Linked DNA regions of Oryctolagus cuniculus. The protein of the gene in region 1 interacts with the protein of each later gene in a pairwise test. Links are inferred from orthologs where the notes say so. Each region holds a gene or a part of one and is shown in the gene's direction. Other genes may lie near its edges. The genes, in order: PADI4 and ANXA4.

Region 1 (3,390 bases):
TCCCTGGGAGCCCCGCAGCTGCCGCCACTGCCTTCCTGACCCCGGCCCTCGACCACCCTCGGCCCAGGGCCTCGCCCCCCGCCCCCCTGCAGCCCCCTACCCACCGCCCCTCCCGCCCCCAGAAGTGCATCGACTGGAACCGCGAGGTGCTGAGGCGGGAGCTGGGCCTGGCCGAGGGCGACATCGTGGACATCCCGCAGCTCTTCAGGCTCGTGGGGGGCAGCAGGGAGCGCCTCAAGGCCGCCGCCTTCTTCCCCAACATGGTGAGGGGGGCGCCCTAGACGCCGGGGGTCTCCCGGTCACGCACTGCTCAGGGGTGGTTCCGGCACAAGAACCCTGGACCGGCGGGGACAGGGTTCAGAGCTTCCGGGCCGGGGTGGCTGCCACTCGTGAAGGGCTAGAGTCGCCCTTGGCCGCGACAGGTGCGAGGAAGGGCATGCACGTGGGGCCCTCGGCTGGGCGGCCCCGGGGGACCTCTGCAAGGAGAAGGTGGTACCACCCCTTCCCCGGCTGGGTGGGACCCCAGCTGCAGGAGCACAGATGTGAGGGTCACACCCCCCCACCCCCAGTGCCCAGCCCGGTCACAGCCCCCATCCCTCTCCCGTCTCCTCTGAGAACACCCGAGGGCCCTTCGGCCGCCGCCTCCCCCAGCGCTGGGCTTGCAGCCCCAGACCAGCCAGCAGCCCCTAATGTGGCAGTTTGCAGACTGGGTTCCCCAGGGCTCCGGGGTGCCTAGGCGGTGCCTCAAATCCGGGGCTCAGGTTGTCTGTGTTCCATGCATGGAAGCCCTGCAGAGGGTCCTGTATAGGATGGGGGTCCCATGGCCCTCTCCTGCCCGGGCTGAGCCTAGCGCCGGCCGCGTATCACCTGCAGCACGGATCTATCCACGTGTATGATTTGTGCAAACATTACCGGGTTTTCCAAGAGGTCTTAGGAAACCTTCAGTCTAATAAATGCTTTCGGCCGAAATAAAACAAACAAATAAATAAATAAGTAAATAAAGGGTCCCTGGGCTAAAAGAAGAGGAGAGCCCCTCCCCCACCCTTTGAACTCCCTTGGCCCCAGGCATCTCGGTCCCCTCTGGTTTGGCCGAGCCAGGCTTCTGGTGCAGGAACGGAAGTGGGTGCTGACGGCTAGGGGAGGGCTCCTGGAATGACCCACGGGCCAGGCCGAGGGCTGGCTCTGAGCCGCCGGCGAGGCCCCTGCAGGGAGCCTGAGCCAAGACCCGCTGGCTCCCCGGTGGTCGTGGAACAGGCAGGGGAGTGAACCACGGGAGCCTCTCAGCTCGGGCCGAGCCGCCACGGAGAACGAGACGCCCTAAGGACTCGGGAGGGCGACCCTGCACTGACTGTGTCCCTGGGCACGCCGGCTCTTGTTTACTGTTGCCATGGAAACCAGAGTTTGGGGATGCATGGCAGCTTCGCAGCGGGGCTGGCATCTGAGTTGGGCTTGACCAGAAGGTGGTCAGCGGGGGAGAGACTTGGCACCAGTCCTAGAACAGCGGGCTGGCCCTTTTCCCATGCAAGACTCAGTTTCCCCATCCACACAGGTCGGGGGGGGGGGGGGATGCGCGGACCACACCCCAGGCTGCGGCCTCCCTCCCGCCGCAGGTGAACCTGCTGGTGCTGGGCAAGCACCTGGGCATCCCCAAGCCCTTCGGCCCCATCATCAACGGCCGCTGCTGCCTGGAGGAGAAGGTGCGGTCCCTGCTGGAGCCGCTGGGCCTGCGCTGCACCTTCATCGACGACTTCTACTCCTACCACGTCCGGCACGGCGAGGTGCACTGCGGCACCAACGTGCGCCGGAAGCCCTTCGCCTTCAAGTGGTGGCGCATGGAGCCCTGAACGCGGGGCTCGCCAGGCGCCCTCCTGCCCCTGCCGCCCGAGGTGGCCGGCGCCCTGTGGCGTGGCGCAGCTGGAGCCCCCCGGGGCGGCTCACTTCCCTTCTCCTGGCTCCAGCCCCGAGCCCCCCCCCCCAGGTTCCCACGAGGGTCCCCGCGTCGCAGACTCAGCTGTGCTTGGAGGAGCTGCAGGGAAGCTGTCCGTCCCTGTGTGCGCCACGGCCACCCGTCGCTCCTGTCACTCACCACGAGCTCGCTTGGCACCGCAGAATTGCCAGGGTCTCGGAGCCAGCGTTACCGAGTGTGCCTTTCGCTCCCAGGCCTAGCGCCGGTGGATAGAGTCTCTCGTGAGGGGCTGGCATTGGACCTAGCAGTGAAGGTGGCTGAGTCCTACATCAGAGTACGTGGGCTCCGCTGCTGGTCCACGTCCTGCCTGCAGCCCCTGGGAGGCGCTGGTGACGGCTGAAGCTACCCACGTGGGAGACCCGGATGGAGCTCCCGGCTCCTGGTTTCAGCCCCAGCTGGGTTCAGTGCTGTTGCATTTAGGGCATAAGCCAGCAGATGGGTGCATCTTCTTTCTCTCAAATAACATTTTTAAAATATATTTTTTTAAATCTTGCATAAGGGGGTCTAGCACTGTGGTGTACTAGGTTAAGCCTCTGCCTGTGGCACCAGCATCCCATATGGACAGCGGTTTGAGACCCAGCTGCTCCACTTCCGATCCAGCTCTCTGCTGTGGCCTGGGGAAACAGTAGAAGATGGCCCAAGTCCTTGGGCCCCTGCGCCCGCATGGGAGACCCGGAAGAAGCTCCTGGCTCCTGGCTTCGGATCGGTGCAGCTCCAGCCATTGTGGCCATCTGGGGAGTGAACCAGCGGATGGAAGACCTCTCCCTGTCTCTGTCTTTCACTGTATGTAATTGTGCCTTTGAAATAAATAAATAAAATATTTTAAAAATATCGAACGTGGTCCTGGTTGGTTCTGAGCTCCCTACAGAAACTCAAGAAGGGAAGAGGGGCCCAGAACCCGTCTTTGAAATCCTTTCCCTGACAGCCCCACCGAGGCTTCGCCCGCGTTAATGTGGCTGTGTCAGCACGATGCACTGTTCTGTATTTGTCAGAATAAAGATAAAACACAGGCAGCCGACTGGTGGGCAGGTGCCTGGGCCTCAGGTCGCTCAGCGTACCTGGTGGGGCGGGAGGCGGCGGTGGCAAAGCCCTGAGGCCAGAGATGCGGCCTGGGAACCTTCTCCCAGTCAGGAGCTCCTTTGAGAAAAGCACAGCCCACGGCCAGCGCCAGGGCACGGAGGGGTCGACGTCAGACATTCTCTGCCCCGCTCCCTATGGGCTCCACTCTGCCAGCAGAAAGCATCCCAAAATGGGCCTTGTCTGGTCCATGAGCCCTGGCTTCGTGAGCCCCAGCTCTGTGAGCCCCCGCGCCGTGAGCCCCCCAAAGCAGGGCCTGGCGCCCGCGGGGGGCCACAGGCTGCTGTGTGTTTGTTGAACTCCACCCACCAGAAAGTCCCAAAACTGCAGGTATTGCAACACCTGAA
Region 2 (4,567 bases), on another chromosome or scaffold:
CTCTTTCCTAGAGTCTCTCAAGAGATTTTTTTTTTTTTTAAGTGATTGTTGCAAGGTGTCTGACGCGTAAAAAATCTTCCCAGGCAGACGAATCAATTAATTCACAGGCTTTTATTGGGATTCTGCTCCTGGGCGAGGTTCCACGGCCCTAACAGAGCAACGGGGTGGGGGGTGGGGTGTCGCGAGTCAGAGATTGGGAGAACTCCTTTTATAGATTCAGGGCATGGGGGTTAAAGGTTGAGGTGGGCCTGATCCTCATTGGTTGACCTTTAGGCACCGCGGGGGACCTTGACAAGGACTTTCCATTCCCGGAAGTATAGGCCTTCCCTCAAGTATAGGCCTTCCCTCCTTGTGGATCCCAAAGCTATCAATTGTATTTACTAGAAAAGTAGAGAGAGGGGCAGGAGTAGCGGGTTAAGCTGTCCCTTGGGACATCCACATCCCATCTTGAGAGCCAGTTTGAGTCTTGACTACTGCACTTCTGATCTAGCTTCCTGCCAATGCTGCTGGGAAAGCAGTGGAAGATGGCCAAACTACTTGGGCCACTACCACCCACAAGGGAGTCCAAGATGTTGGTCCTGGCCCCCAACTTTGGCCTTGCCCAGCCCTGAGTGTTGCACATATGAGTGAACCAGCAGATGGGAGATTAATCTCTGTCATTTTTTATAAAGATTTACTTTAAAGGCAGTGTCTTTTTTTTTTTTTAAAGAGCTATTTATTTTTATTTGAAAGGCAGAGTTACAGAAAGGCAGAGAGAGAGAGAGAGAGAGAGAGAGAGAGAAATAAGTCTTCCATCCATTGGTTCACTCCCCAAATGGTGGCAACAGCCAGAAATGAGCTAAGTTGAAGCCAGGAGCTTCTTCCGGGTCTCGTGGGTGCGGGGGCCCAAGGACTTGGGCCATCTTCTACTGCCCTCCCAGGCCATAGCAGAGAGCTGAATCAGAAGTGGAGCAGCTGGGTCTCCTACAGGCGCCCATATGGGATGCCAGCACTGCAGGCGGCGGCTTTACCCGCTACACCACAGCGCCGGCCCCTGGCAGTGTCTATTTTTTTAGTGTGCCAAACCACCTACACCTCTTCAGAGATTCTTGAGACTAGGGACATAATTCACCAGAGGGGAGCTTTCTCTTTCTGATACTGTACGCGCTGTGTTTGGGAACTGCTTCATCAGAGCTTGAGGGGGTCAGAGTGTCACTCCGGCTCAGACGTGTGGAAATTACCTGCACTGACCCTGCCGCACTTGCCTTCGGCTCCAGAGTTCTGCGTCTGCTGCTTCCTCCGCCTGGAATCTCCTCCTCTCCTCCCCGTCGTGGGCCGCTACATATCCATTCCTTCAGGATGCTCCATTGTAGGGCTCCCCTGCCGGTCCCCATCTGCACTTTCCCGCTCACAGTTTCTAGTTCTTAAAGGTCTAGTCAATTGCCCATCTTTACAGTGGGCAATAAGCTTGATCGCCACTGCAGTTCCCATGGGCCAGGCCTCCTAAGCGGTGGTGCAGGTGGGCAGGTAAACAGAGGCTCCGCACTGTTACCCTGCCACGCTCCTTCCGGTTTGGGCAGCGCTCCCTCCCCCAGCAGCTGAGTGGTGGGGAGAACATTTCCGGAGAGCGTCATTTCCGCTCAGTTCGGGACTGACTTCCTGTCCGCGGGACTTGGCTGTTGGCAAGCGGGGTTGAGCCAGAATTGTACTCCCTGCTTTCAAGGGACTTTCCATCTTTCTGAGGACAGAACCAATGTGAGTCACCTCCCCGCGCCACTGCAGCGGCCCCAGATCCCTCGCCCTCGCTGTAGCAGTGCCCTGGTGACGGGTGTCACGCAGGCTTCTCCAACTGTACACAGCTGAAGGTTCACGCGCTCAAGGGTCCAGTGTGTCCGTGAAACTTCAAGGCGGTCAGGGCAGCTGAAGCCAAGGGCACTGGGGACAAGGAGCAGGGGTGGCCGTGGACGGGGAGGAGGCTGGGAGGGCATGAGATCTTGGGCACATGCAGAGCCATTTATCAAGACCACAGACAGCAGCCACAGGAGGGCTGAGCAGGTTTTTAAAGCATTCAGCATCCCTGTAACTCTATCTTTCGAATAAATAAGTCTTTATTTGGAAGAGTTAGAAGAAAGAAATCTTCCATCTGATGGTTTACTCCCCATATGGCTGCACCGGCCAGGGCTAGGCCAGGTTGAAGCCAGAAACCTGGAATGCCATCTGGGTCTCCCCATGTGGGTGGCAGGGGCCTAAGCATTTGGGCCATCATCTGCTGCTTTCCCAGGAGCATTGGCAAGAAGCTGGATCGGAAGTGGAGCAGCTGGGACTTGAACTTAACCTACTGCATCACAACGCCAGCCTCTAAAATATTCTTGCTGCATTGTGGACAATTGACCAGAGGACAGTTGACCACTGGAGGCAGGAAGTCCAGTTGGCATTGAGAGCTCTCAATCTGTTTGCACCTGGGGAGCCCTAAGGAATGACCAGGAGCAGGGCCAGGATAGCACTTTTGTTTCTCCCCACTCCCCAGTGATTCTCCTGCGCAGGCAGGTGGAGAACCACTGCCCTGGAGGTGCAGGGGTGCTTGCTGTGGCTGGAGAACCCAGGGATTTGGCAGGGGAGCCAGGAGGAACACCAGGGAAGAGCTGAGCTCCCCGCCCCAGAGGGTAACATCCATGTTTCTCTGATTCACACCAAGTTTGGTGCTACTGATTTTTTTAATTGGAGGTCATTCCCAGTATTAAAAATACTTAAAATTCACACAAAATATGCTCATTTCTACTTCTCTTAAGAAAGTTGAAAGGCACGGCCAACCTGGATCTGTGTGCCAGCTGCCCTCTATGGACCTAGTGTGTGCTCTCCAGGCTGCCACAGCGGAAACACGTATCAATTCCCCCTGTCCCAGCCAAGTGCCAGCTGCTGTTTTTCACCTTGTACCCGGCCAGCTGGCTCATTCAAGTTAGTTCCCTAGTCCCTGTTCAGATGGGAGTTTGGAAGTCAAGGGCTAGAATCTGCAGTAGACCTGTTAGGGTTTTGTGGTGCTGTGTGTGTGTGTGTGTGTGAACGCTTGAGACACACAAAACTGCCTCAGGTTTTCCCACAGAACATGAATGCCATCAAGTTGCTGATGCTAACAGATTACTCTGAAAGATGTGGTTAAGACACACACACACACACACACACACACACACATATATATATATATAGGCATCCTGTATAAGAGTGCATGGGCTTGATGCCTGGCTCCGGCTCCCGATTCCAGCTTCCAGTATAGGCCCTGGGAGGCAGCAGCTGATGGTTCAAGTAATGAGTCACAGCCACCCACATGGGAGACGTGGATTGAGTTCCCAGCCCCAACCCTTGCCAGAATTTTTGGAGTGAACCAGCAGCTAGAAGCTCTGTCCATCTCTCATTCTCTCTGCCTCTTGAATAAATAAATAATACAAAAATAAAATATTACTCTTATCGTGTAATTCCAAGGAAGAACTGCTTCACTAGGCATGAGGACAAATCAAGACCCCCTCCAGTCTCCTCCAGCTCTTCTACAGGAAAATCTTTATTTGCAGTCCTGTAAGCAGTTTTTAGTAAGAATGGGTATTCTCACCAGTGATTGTCAGAAATAACAGGCAAGATAGCAAGACAGGTTGAGAATCAGATTGGGTCAGAAAGAGGAGGATATGCATTTGAATCTCAACGAATCTGGCACTGGTTGCTTGACCCTTGGCAGACTCCCAGAAATAAGAGCTCAGACCTGCCTACCTACCTCACGATCATTATGAAGCTCAAATAAAAATGGATCAATGCTTTCTAAGCTGCAGAGGGATTCACAGATGTACAATATGATTATCATTATTCGCTTGTTTACCAGACCCACACCCAGTGCTATGGTGTATGTGTTTGGCTTGTACTCAGCTTAGGGATGTAAAAATGAATGAGATGAGCCCTAAGGGACTATGGTCTACTGGAAGTAGCAGTGATATGAAAGAGTGCTTTTAGGCAATAAACTCAAAGAATTAAGAAATAGACTCCAACACAGCCTGGCATGCCAGCATTCATGGAATTATTCAGGATAGTCCAAAAATCGAAACAACCCAGCTGTCGTCGGTGGATGAATGTGTAATCAAAATATGGTGTGTATGTGCAATAGAATATTACTCAATAGAATATTACTCAGCCATGAAAAATAATAAGATTCTGACACGTGCTGCAACATGGATGGATCTTAGGAACACCGGGCTGAGTGAAGTAAGCCAGACACAAAAGAACAAGTATTAAATGACTCTACTCACATAAAATACCTAGAATAGGAAAATTCATAAAGACAGAAAGTAGATCAGAGGTTAACCAGTAGCGAGGGGTAGGTAGGAAAGGAGATCTAACTAATGAGGACAGAGTTTTCTATTTAAGGTGATGAAAAATTTTGGAAATAATGGTGATAGCTATTAAGAATCTAATTGATGCCACTGAGTCATATACTTAAAATCAGTTAAAATGGCAAATTTTATGCTATATTCTTAATAAAGATATTTTTAAAAATTGTTTAGACTTCGGCCGGCGCCGCGGCTCACTAGGCTAATCCTCCGCCTAGCGG

Evidence for each region.
Region 2: the proteins of PADI4 (region 1) and ANXA4 interact in binary tests that used the Homo sapiens proteins (3 or more experiments, as listed by UniProt). The two-hybrid records come from large-scale screens. The link is inferred for Oryctolagus cuniculus from reciprocal best matches to the Homo sapiens genes PADI4 and ANXA4.

Annotation. Positions count from the first base shown.
Region 1 is NC_091438.1:152,880,358-152,883,747, reverse strand, and holds the end of PADI4 (protein-arginine deiminase type-4), read left to right. Parts: intron 1-122; coding exon 123-263; intron 264-1,610; coding exon 1,611-1,844; 3' UTR 1,845-2,797; downstream 2,798-3,390. UniProt on the Homo sapiens protein: Catalyzes the citrullination/deimination of arginine residues of proteins such as histones, thereby playing a key role in histone code and regulation of stem cell maintenance.
Region 2 is NC_091433.1:132,953,784-132,958,350, reverse strand, and holds the start of ANXA4 (annexin A4), read left to right. Parts: upstream 1-1,625; 5' UTR 1,626-1,734; intron 1,735-4,567. UniProt on the Homo sapiens protein: Calcium/phospholipid-binding protein which promotes membrane fusion and is involved in exocytosis.